3 linked regions of the Nothobranchius furzeri genome follow. The protein of the gene in region 2 purifies or fractionates together with the protein of the main gene of each other region. This does not show direct contact. Links are inferred from orthologs where the notes say so. Each region holds a gene or a part of one and is shown on either strand. Other genes may lie near its edges.

Region 1 (3,652 bases), on a different chromosome or scaffold from region 2:
CACACCTGATTTTAATCAGGCTCCTCGTTGAGTTGCTGAACAGGTGATTCAACCACTGAATCAGATGTGTTGGAGCAGCAAGGAAATGTCTAAAATATGCTGGTCAGCGGGCCTGGAGGAGCAGGGCTTTTGGACTAGCCTAGTGAACTAGACCAAAATGAACGCTCCACTGGAACCTCCACGGCCCCTAGCAGCATTCTGGCAGGCCAATCACAGCGCTCTATCGGCTTTGTGGGCGAAGCAAGGCGCTCTACTGGTGTGGTGGGTGGGTTGAAACAACGGAGGAGAGCAAGATGGCGACAACTCATTTGAAACTGCTTTTACATTTTGGACTATTTGGATTTGGTCTTTATTAGAATCAGGAGCAGATGAATGTATTTTATTAAGAAAAAGGAATATTTTTGCCTTCTTCAACAGTGGATTGCCTTGTTTACCGGCATCAGTTGCGGTGAGTACGTCACGTTGTTGGTTGTTCAGTAGAATGCGAGATCGTTGGAAAGACAACGGTAGAATCCCCCCACCCCATGACGAGAACCGTCAATGGAGCTACTTTTGGACACCACTGGACTGGTGTTTTCATTGTTGGGGCTCGGTGTGTGTGTGTGTGTGTGTGTGTGTGTGTGTGTGTGTGTGTGTGTGTGTGTGTGTGTTACGATGCAAATGTGCTCATCTGTGTGCCAGTTAACATGATGAAGGCATTAAATTGCGGCGGTGGATCAAAGCAACATGGTGTAGCTGAGATAATTTGTGAACGACGTTAAAAGCAGCTGATCTTGGTTCTGCTCCAAACAAACAGACGTTTGGAGCAGAGTAAATGTTGTTGTCAATGTGCTCCTGTACATCGGAAATGTTTAATCTTGAGATCCAATGAAAATGTTACCAATAATATTTATAATAATAACAATAATGATAATAATAGTTTCAAACACATGGAGAGCTGTGACTGGTCCATAATGGGGGGGCCAGTCATCTGCTTTGTGAACCAATCACCACGCTTTATCCGCTTTGTGGGCCAATCAAGACCCTCTCTTCGTCTGGTGGGCGGGATGATGCAACAGAGTGGAACAAGATGGCGACAGCTCGTTTGAAATGGCTTTCACATCAGTTTTGGACCATTTGGACGTGAGCTTTATTAGAATCAGGAGCTGATAGATGTATTTAAGTCCTCTTTTTTTAAGAAAAAGGATGTGTTTTCGCTTTCTTCAACAGCGGACTGCCTTGTTTACAGACATCCATTGCGATGACTACGTCACATTGTTCACTGTCCACTAGCATGCGGAGATTGTTTGATAGACAATGGTGGAACCCGCCCCACGACTGAGAGCCGTCAATGAGTATATGAAATATATTATTTAGTCTGGCTTGCCAGACTACCCAAAGACACTAATCAACAGTGAAAATGCACTGATTATTGGGTCTTTCACTCAGAAGGTTTATGAAACCAATTTTAATGTTTGGATTCATGTTTAAAGAGCAAGTCACCCCCTACCAGAGTCTTACTCCACCCACACTTCCTTTTTGAAAAATGCACCAAATGGAGGGTTTGCCTGGCGGGCCGAGAGGGCGGCGCTGCAACAGTGACTGACAGAGCTGCACCCCGCCACCCCCTCTCTGAGATTTTACGTCTGAGAAATTAGCCGCTAACAAACACACGTGCACACACACACTTACTGCTTGGACACAGAAACAGGAGCAGGCTTCCTAGTGGAGGATTTCTTCACCAGAGGAAGGAGAGGCAAGGAAAAGGGAGGAAGGATTAATGAAGGAGGCGAGCGGCTCCGAGCTGTATCTTTTCATATCGGCTCGTGAGTGGCTGAGCCAGCAGGAGGCGGGGCTAAGAGCGGCCACAATCAGAGATACTGGCTACCGTAGAAAATACCTGCTTTGAGTGACTCAATTCAAATGTCGTGCAAACATTTAAGCTACAGCAAAACTAAAGTTGATTTGGGGGTGACTTGCTCTTTAACACCGATTTCATAAAGTTTTTCTTTTAATGCTGGAAATGTAATTCGTCTATAATCGAACCTTTATAATTTCCACGTTTAAAAGCGTGAGTAACAGTTCTCTAACAAAGCCTGGAACCATAGCAGATAATTACTGTTTCATCTTGTGGGATTGTGTCTTTCAGCATGTAAACAAATAGGATGGAAAACATAAAGCACATCCCTTTTGTTGTGCAAGTTACGTAATCCGAACATCCGTGCTTTTCACTAACTGCTGCACAGAGAGAGAGGGAATAACGGTTTTTGAATATACTGACTAGAGCAAAGTTTTGAGGTTTTAAATTGGGTACATTAGCATTTAGGCTGCACATGTTACAAGCAGCTTTCTTCAGACTTGAACAGAAATAACTCAATACATCAATTATGTGGCTGAGTGAGTCTGTTTTACAGTGTAACAAAAAAAACAGTATTTCCTGGGTCACCCTCCAGAGCCGTTTATCCATTTTCTGATCAGATGTAAGAAAATATCCCTGCGACTGTAAATGGTGCAACAGAGACTATGAGAAAAGAGGTAAGAATGGAGGGGAAAGCTGTGTTCAAGTTAAAAGGCACACGGATGCATAAAGGAGATACGGGAGCAAACCTTATTCTCTCACAGGGATAAGCAGTCGCCCATTCAGCACATTAAAGGAACAGAGATTTAGTTTGCTGATTAAATCCCCAAACCGGTAAATCACACGCTGAATGAAACGAAGCAAGTAAAAACATGCAGGTGCACTGTTGTGTCGCAGGTGAACATGACTCACGGGTGCCTGAGGGTATGCGCTCTAGCAATAAGTAACCAAATTCAAAGTGGAAAACGATCAATGAAAACACAATTAGACGGAACGACGGTTTCAAAACTATGCACTTACAGCAGCTCCGTTCCAAGAATCATGGGCACCTTTACATCTGAGTGGTTGCTACGGAAACACAGGCGGAAGACGTGGCTGGCGCCGGGTTGCCGTGAGCCCAACATGCTGGTGGGGCTTTTGACCGGAGACAGGTTGAGCTCCTCCGGCTGGCAGGTGCCCACTTGGATCTGATCCCTCAGGGCGTAGTCGATCACGGAGTAGCTGTCCTCGCTGTTAAAATAAATAAATAAATACAGAAAAATTATGTTTATGTAATCAAGACTTGATCTCAGAGGCCGGGTCAATTTCAGCATTCAGCAACTTATTATGCAGACTCGTTTACAAACGAGCAGACGCTTTTTCTGGGACAGCGGTAGCTCAGAAGGTAGAGCAGGTTCTCCAGTAATCGGAAGGTTGCAGGTTCGGCCCCGGCTCCAACCAGAGGATGCTGCGGTTGTGTCCTTGGGCATGACACCTAACCCACCTTGTCTGCTGGTGGTGGTCAGAGGGATGGGTGGTGCCAGTGTTCGGAAAGCCTCGCCTCTGTTGGTGCTCCCCAGGGCAGCTGTGGCTACATCGTAGTTCATCCCCACCAGTGTGTGAATGGGTGAATGACTGATTGTGTTGTGAAGCGCTTTGGATGGTTGTAGTACCCCAAAAGGCCCTATACTAATACAGGCCATACACTTAATTGGTTTATTCAGCTTGTAAGTAAATAATCCCTCCCTGTTAACAGTAAATCAGTCTGGCTGCATGGAAACACAGCGCTCTTGAGTAAAAAGCACGTTTTATTGGAGCAGTAAAAAGAAAAGTATT
Region 2 (3,652 bases):
CTTGATGCATTATTAAGCATTAATAAACAAAGGATCCCTCTATTAACTTCCACGATATTAACTACGAATTGTCCTTAAGGTTAGGACAAAGACGTGAGGGGTGTTTTGCTTAATAATGCATTACTTAATATTAACGTTTATATAAAGCAGTTGTTACTTTAATAGTATATTAATGCTTAATAATGCGCCAAGTTACATAACTAAAGGGACCCTTATTTTAAAGTGTTACCAAAGAACTTTAATGTAGGAAGGGATAAAAGAAATAAGGTAAGAATAAAGAAAAATGGGCAAATTAGTTATAAAACCTTAAAATATCGATTTTCAAGCTTCATTATTCTGCCCTTCTTACCCTCATGATGATGCTAATTTTAGTTAAAGTTGTTCATTTAATTTGACTAAATAGAAAATAATCCACTTGAGTAAATCTTTACTGTTTATAAATGTAATTCCATATAAATTAAGTTAACTTTTAATTAAATTTAAAGGTTTTGAGTTATAATGTTGCCCAACCCAATCCAGTAGATTAATCCGTTAAAAACTACTGTTGTTACAATTAAGGAATGGTTTCATAATATCTTTGTTTCCAACTTGATTTCATTCACTGGTTTACAAAATTCAAACAACCTTTTCTTTCAAGGCCGTGCTCAAAAAAGCATCAACTCCCTCTGAAATGGGGTTAAAATTATAAAAAGAACACCCTCAGACGCACGTAAAGCTGAAACATGTCCTTTAAACACGCAACAATCAAACAAAGCTGCTTGTTCTTCTCGAAGCGGTTCCTCCTTTTGGAGAGCTAAGAATAAGTTCTGCTCGTGACATTTGTTGCCATCCACTCACTTGTTTCCTTTCAGCAGTAACACCCCTGGCTGAGCAGCCAATCGGAGCAATCTCACCGAAGGGTCCAGTTTGACAACAAACATCCAACAGCCTCAGTCATCCATGCATACACAAAAAACCACGGACAGCAAATGTTCATGCACTCCTGATAGTTTCCTCATTTCTTTATGCCATGTTTTTGTAAATAATGACAGTTTTGCCTCTGAATAAATAGTTTTCTGATATATTAGAATATCAGAATATACTAAGGTTAGGTGATTAAAGGAATTATTCAACCGTCGGCCATCGTTTTTTATTAGCGACGGGACATTGCAAACTTCCACATCAAATCAGCAATCTTTTTTGCGACACTTGTTCTATGTACATATACATATTACACATTTTTTGAAAACAATGATGAATTGCAAATCTTTAAATCTGTGGTCAGAGATGCGAGGGTTGCATGTTTCTTCAACCTGGTGTCTTGGAGCAAAGGGAATCCCAAGGTGTTGATCAGCAGCATTGTTTCTCCTGCTTTACCTACAGCCTCCTTTCACTCTGATGGGCATTACCCCCCCCCCCCCCCCCCAACTTATTTTGTGGACTAAGTCAGTAAGGTTAGATCTAGCATCTCTAATTCAGCTTTATCTCTGTTCCGACCCAAACCCGGCCCGTCATTCTAGATAGTTTTGCTCCTGTTTCTGCCTGAGCTAACCAAACGAGTTAACTCTATGAAGACCTCTGCATGCCCCCTTGACATCTTACTAATCTTTGTTTAAGAATGCTTTTCAGTCCATCGGCTCCAGCGTGCTCTCTGTAATTAACGCTTCTCTGGTTTCTGGTCAGGTCCCCCTTTTAGAATGCTGTAATTCACTCTCCTCCTAAAAATCCCAGTCTTGACCCCTCTCTCCATAGCAGCTTCAGACCCATCTCTAAACTTCCGTTCATCTCCAAGATCTTGGAAAAGGTTGTGGCTAAACATCTAACAGCTGTTCTTAATGAACTGAACACCTATGATTGCTTACAGTCAGGTTTGCGTAGAGCTCATTCTACTGAAACAGCTCTTCTTAGGGTCTCTAATGACCTTCTGACCCACAGTGATGCAGAGGACTTTTCTGTTCTGGTCCTGCTGGACATCTCCAAGTTTTGGTCCTCCACCACATCCCTCACCCATGGTGTCCCACAAGGCTCTGTGCTGGGGCCTCTATTCTTCCTCCTCTATCTGCTTCCTCTTCAGCACGTCCTGAGTTCCTTTAAAGGAATCTGCCACCATCTTTATGCAGATGACATCCAACTTTTATAAATTAGTGTAAAATCCTCGACCCTCTCTTGCAGAGATGAGGGTTGAGCAGAAATGTTTAGTAACTCTGTAAAGGTGGTTTGATTTTCTGATACTTAAAATAGGTTGTAGTTTATTTAATTGCAACCTGTTATATATTATCGCAGTTTACTGTCATTTGTCCAGTCGTTCAAAAAAGCTTTACGATGTGAAAAAAATGTAAATAAAACAAAGTGTGTGTGTATGCAAGTGTGCTCAAGGAGGGGGTGTTGTGCGACAAAGGGAGGCCCAGTGGAGAAGATTTGGAAATCATTGATATACTAATGTTTAATATAACAAGTAAAACATATTAAAAATTGAACTTTATCCAGGTGAACCAAGGTTTGTTAAAGGGGAGGCTGTGGTTCATTACAAAGTATCTTTTTATATATATTTTTCCTTTTTGTTCTCCAAGTTGTTTAGGACTTTCTCATTACTTCCTACAAAGTACAAATACTAGAAAACGGAGTGGTTTTTCCTGGAAACAAAGTTGTCCAATATTAGTTTCAGCAGTCCAAGAGCGATGTCTAGGTGTTACTTCCAACGTTTGTTCTGGTAGCCATAATAAATGATAAAATACCAGTGAACCGAATTTCATTTGTTTTATAATCCAACCATTTAACAGAATCACAAATTAAAGTTGTTGTAATTTCACGCTCTACGGACCCTGATGCCAGGCTGTTACTAGTTTCATTTCCACTCTCAGTTCCTCTTGGTGGCTAATATACAAACTAATCTCCTCAGGTCGTGTTGGCACGCCTCACTTCATGGCCCCCGAGGTGGTGAAGAGGGAGCCGTACGGCAAGCCCGTGGACGTTTGGGGGTGTGGAGTCATCCTCTTCATCCTCCTCTCTGGTTGCCTGCCCTTCTATGGCACCAAGGAGCGCTTGTTCGAGGCCATCATTAAGGGGAAATACAAGGTGGTGGTGATCAAACCATTTCTCTCATTCGCTGCACTTCATTTTGTCGCTAGCTTAGACTCAGGAGAGCTTTGTACAATTCTACAAAAGTGCTGATCTTTGTGCAGATGAATCCGCGCCAGTGGGCCCACATTTCAGAGAGCGCCAAGGACCTGGTGAGACGCATGCTGATGCTAGACCCCGCAGAGAGGATCACCGTCTACGAGGCCCTGAACCACCCCTGGCTGAAGGTTAGAGATGAGTCGCAGCCACCTTTACCCCAGCTGGCTCAAAGCCACAGCTTTGCTTTCTCATCTGTCACACTACACCCCACATCCCCTGGTTTGTGATAAGCACATTGATGTTTCCGACTTCTCCACCTGCAGGAGAGGGACAGGTACGCCTACAAGATCCACCTGCCTGAAACGGTGGAGCAGCTGAGGAAGTTCAACGCCAGGAGGAAGCTGAAGGTTAGCCGCCCTGTGACAGATTCTGTGGTCTCTTTTTAACGTTTGGTCATTTGGTTTTGAGGCGTTTCCTCCAAACATGTCTAAAAACACACGTGTGTTTTCCAGGGTGCAGTGCTGGCTGCTGTTTCCAGCCACAAGTTTAACTCCTA
Region 3 (3,652 bases), on a different chromosome or scaffold from region 2:
GCAGCCCTGGCGGAGTCCAACCCTCACTGGGAACAGGTCCGACTTACTACAGGCTATGCAGACCAAACTCACGCTCCTCTGGTAAAGGGACTGAATGGCCCTTAACAAAAGGCCACCCACCCCATACTCCTGGAGCGTCCCCCACAGGGTGCCCCTGGGGACATGGTCATAAGCCTTCTCCAAATCCACAAAACACATGTGGATTGGTTGGGAAAACTCCCATGCCCCCTCCATCACCCTTGCAAGGGTATAGAGCTGGTCCACAGTTCCACGGCCAGGACGAAAACCACATTGCTCCTCCTCTATCTGAGATTCAACTATCGATCGGACCCTCCTCTCCAGTACCATGGAGTAGACCTTTCCAGGGAGGCTGAGGAGTGTGATCCCCCTATAGTTGGAACACACCCTCAGGCCACCCTTCTTAAAGATGGGGACCACCACCCCGGTCTGCCACTCCACAGGAACTGCCCCCGATGACCACGCAATGTTGCAGAGACGTGTCAACCATGACAACCCTACAACATCCATAGCCTTGAGATACCCAGGACGAACCTCATCTGTCCCCGGGGCTCCGCCGCTGTGTAGTTGTTTGACTACCTCAGCAACTTCTGCCCCCGAGATTGGACAGTCCATCCCCAGGTCTCCCGGCTCTGGTTCCTCCTCGGAATGCGCATTGGTGGGATTGAGGAGCTCCTCAAAGTATTCCTTCCACCGTCCGACTATTGCCCCAGTTGACGTCAGCAGCTCCCCATCCCCACTGTAAACAGTGTGAGCGAGTTGCTGCCTTCCTCTCCTGAGGCACCGGACAGTTTGCCAGAACCTCTTTGGAGCCGATCGATAGTCTTTCTCCATGGCCTCACCAAACTCCTCCCACGCCCGAGATTTTGCCTCGGCAACTGCCACTGCTGCACCCCGCTTGGCTATCCGGTACCTGTCTGCTGCCTCCAGAGACCCACAGACCAGCCACGCCCTGTAGGCCTCCTTCTTCAGCCTGATGGCTCCCCGAACCTTTTGTCCACCAGCGGGTACGGGGGTTGCCACCACGACTGGCACCGGCCACCTTGAGACCACAGCTAGCAACAGCCGCCTCAACAATCGCAGAATGGAACAAGGCCCACTCAGAGTCGATGTCCCCCACTGCTCTCGGGATGCGGTCAAAGCTCTGTCGGAGGCGGGAGTTGAAGACCGTCTTAAAAGGTTCTTCTGCCAGGCGTTCCCAGCAGACCCTCACTATGCGTTTGGGTCTGCCAGGTCTACACAGCATCCTCCCCTGCCATATGATCCAACTCACCACCAGGTGGTGATCAGTTGACAGCTCCGCTTCTCTCTTCACTCGGGTGTCCAAAACATACGGCCGCAGGTCAGATGATACGACTACAAAGTCTATCATCGACGTGCGATCTAGGCTGCCCTGGTACCAAGTGTACCGATGGGCATCCATATGTTCGAACATGGTGTTCGTTATGGCCAAACTGTGGCTTGCACAGAAGTCCAATAACGAAACACCACTCGAGTTCAGATCAGGCGGGCTGTTCCTCCCAATCACACCCCTCCAGGTCAAGCTGTCATTGCCCACGTGAGCATTGAAGTCCCCCAGCAGGACAATGGAGTCCCCTGATGGAGCACTATCTAGCACTCGTCCTAGAGACTCCAAAAAGGGTGGGTACTCTGAACTGATATTTGGCCCATAAGCACAAACAACAGTCAGGACCCGTTCCCCGACCCAAAGGCGGAGGGAAGCTACCCTCTCATCCCCCGTGGTAAACCCCAACACACAGGCAGAGAGTCTTGGGGCTAACAAAAAGCCAACCCCAGCCCTCCCCCTCTCACCCGGAGCAACTCCAGCAAAGGAGAGTGTCCAACCCCTCACAAGGACTTGGGTTCCAGAGCCAATGCTATGTGTCGAGGTGAGTCCGACTATATCTAGCCGGTACCGCTCAACCTCTGCCACAAGCTCCTGCTCCTTCCTCGCCAGCGAGGTGACGTTCCATGTCCCAAAAACCAGTTTTCTTGTCCGGGGATCGGACCGCCAAGGCTCCCGCCTTGGTCTGCCACCCGATCCACACTGCACCCGACCCTTCATGTTCCTCCTGCGGGTGGTGGGTCCACAGTTGGATGAGCCCATGTATCCGGTCCGGGTTGAGCCTGGCCGGGCCCCATGGGCGAAAGCCCGGCCACCAGTCCTCTTGGTCCTTGTTCTGGTTTTCTAAAAGCCTGTGTTAACAACCTTGGTGTGTTTTTAGACGGTTCTTTTAATCTTCACAGACAGGTGAGTGCAGTGGTCCAATCAGGTTTTTATCAACATGTCACCCACCTGTTCGTGTCCTGCCGATTGGACTACTGCAGGCCCCTGTATTCTGGCCTGGACCAGTCCTCCCTACACCGACTTCAGCTGTTCCAAAATGCAGCGGCCCGCTTGCTGACTGGAATCAGCAAGCGGGATCACATAACCCCGGTTCTGGTCTCTCTCCATTGGCTTCCTGTCTCTTACAGGATCCATTTCAAAATTTTACTTTTTGTTTTTAAATCCCTTCATGGCCTGGCCCCAGTTTACATCTCTTAGCTGCCGTCTGCTTACGTCCCCGCCAGAACCATGAGGTCCAGCTCTCAAGCTCTTTTAACAGTTCCAAAAACCCGCCACAAGACTCGCGGCGACAGAGCGTTCTCTGTGGTTGGGCCCAAACTGTGGAACAAGCTACCTCTCAACATCAGGACCACACAGAGTCTAGAGCATTTTAAATCCCTTCTTAAGACGCATTTTTTTGATTTGGCTTTTAATGCAGGCTGACTTGAGCATCTTGATAGTTTTTAACAGTTTTTATCATAGATTGTGACTGTTGTGTGTTCATCTTATTTTAGTTTTTATTGTTGATCTGTTGTATCTTGATTTGTTTTACCTTGTACAGTGCTTTGGTGTAGCTTTGCTGCGGTAAATGCGCTCTATAAATAAAGTTGACCTTGACCTTCTGTTCTAGCTTAATTACACTGGAGATGCTACTCAATAAAGAAATGAAAGCACATAAAGCTTGTTGTGATTTTGGATCGGCCTCTACCTGGTGGCGAGCAGCGGGTGTGTGAGCACAGGCATGGACCAGGACTCTCGGCTCCACGGCACCGACTCAAACAGGAGGATGTCTTTTTCTGTCAGCGCCATGACCAGCGGCCGGAACTGCTGCCGCCCGCCTTCCAGCTGGATCTGAATCAGGAACGTCAGTCAGGATCAGCAGGAAACTCTTATAAAAGACGTGTTTTTATCAGGATTCCTTACGGGAATTAATTAGACAACATATCGTCATTTTTGTCAAGTCATGCTTCAGGTCTGCTTTTAAAACTCTAGATGTGAAAAAACTGCATCCTCACCCACCGTGTCTGAATTTAAACACAACATGATATCAGGGCAGATAAATGAACAGAGCTGCTCCTTATGAACTCATCCTGCATCTCTAACAGAGAAAATGTGAATTTCGCTTTAATAAAAACATCTTTTGCACATTTTTTTAGTGTTTCAAACTCCACAGGTTGTATAAACAGCAATTTATCTGCTTAAACTCACAATTTTACCAGAATTTTTCTGAAAAATCGGGTTTGTGGATAAAATACTGGATTCATTCAGACTTTTTTCTCATGAAACAGTTCCAGTAGAAAGCGAGAT

Evidence for each region.
Region 1: the proteins of peripheral plasma membrane protein CASK (region 2) and rho guanine nucleotide exchange factor 26 purify together in Homo sapiens (affinity purification with mass spectrometry; 3 studies listed by BioGRID and IntAct, with this or other methods). This does not show direct contact. The link is inferred for Nothobranchius furzeri from reciprocal best matches to the Homo sapiens genes CASK and ARHGEF26.
Region 3: the proteins of peripheral plasma membrane protein CASK (region 2) and sntb2 purify together in Homo sapiens (affinity purification with mass spectrometry; 3 studies listed by BioGRID and IntAct, with this or other methods). This does not show direct contact. The link is inferred for Nothobranchius furzeri from reciprocal best matches to the Homo sapiens genes CASK and SNTB2.

Annotation. Positions count from the first base shown.
Region 1 is NC_091753.1:51,579,476-51,583,127, forward strand, and holds part of rho guanine nucleotide exchange factor 26, read right to left. Parts: intron 3,068-3,652; coding exon 2,858-3,067; intron 1-2,857. UniProt on the Homo sapiens protein: Activates RhoG GTPase by promoting the exchange of GDP by GTP. Required for the formation of membrane ruffles during macropinocytosis. Required for the formation of cup-like structures during trans-endothelial migration of leukocytes.
Region 2 is NC_091754.1:50,587,549-50,591,200, forward strand, and holds part of peripheral plasma membrane protein CASK, read left to right. Parts: intron 1-2,878; coding exon 2,879-3,057; intron 3,058-3,161; coding exon 3,162-3,284; intron 3,285-3,419; coding exon 3,420-3,503; intron 3,504-3,608; coding exon 3,609-3,652. UniProt on the Homo sapiens protein: Multidomain scaffolding Mg(2+)-independent protein kinase that catalyzes the phosphotransfer from ATP to proteins such as NRXN1, and plays a role in synaptic transmembrane protein anchoring and ion channel trafficking.
Region 3 is NC_091744.1:86,335,118-86,338,769, reverse strand, and holds part of sntb2 (beta-2-syntrophin), read right to left. Parts: intron 3,197-3,652; coding exon 3,054-3,196; intron 1-3,053. UniProt on the Homo sapiens protein: Adapter protein that binds to and probably organizes the subcellular localization of a variety of membrane proteins. May link various receptors to the actin cytoskeleton and the dystrophin glycoprotein complex.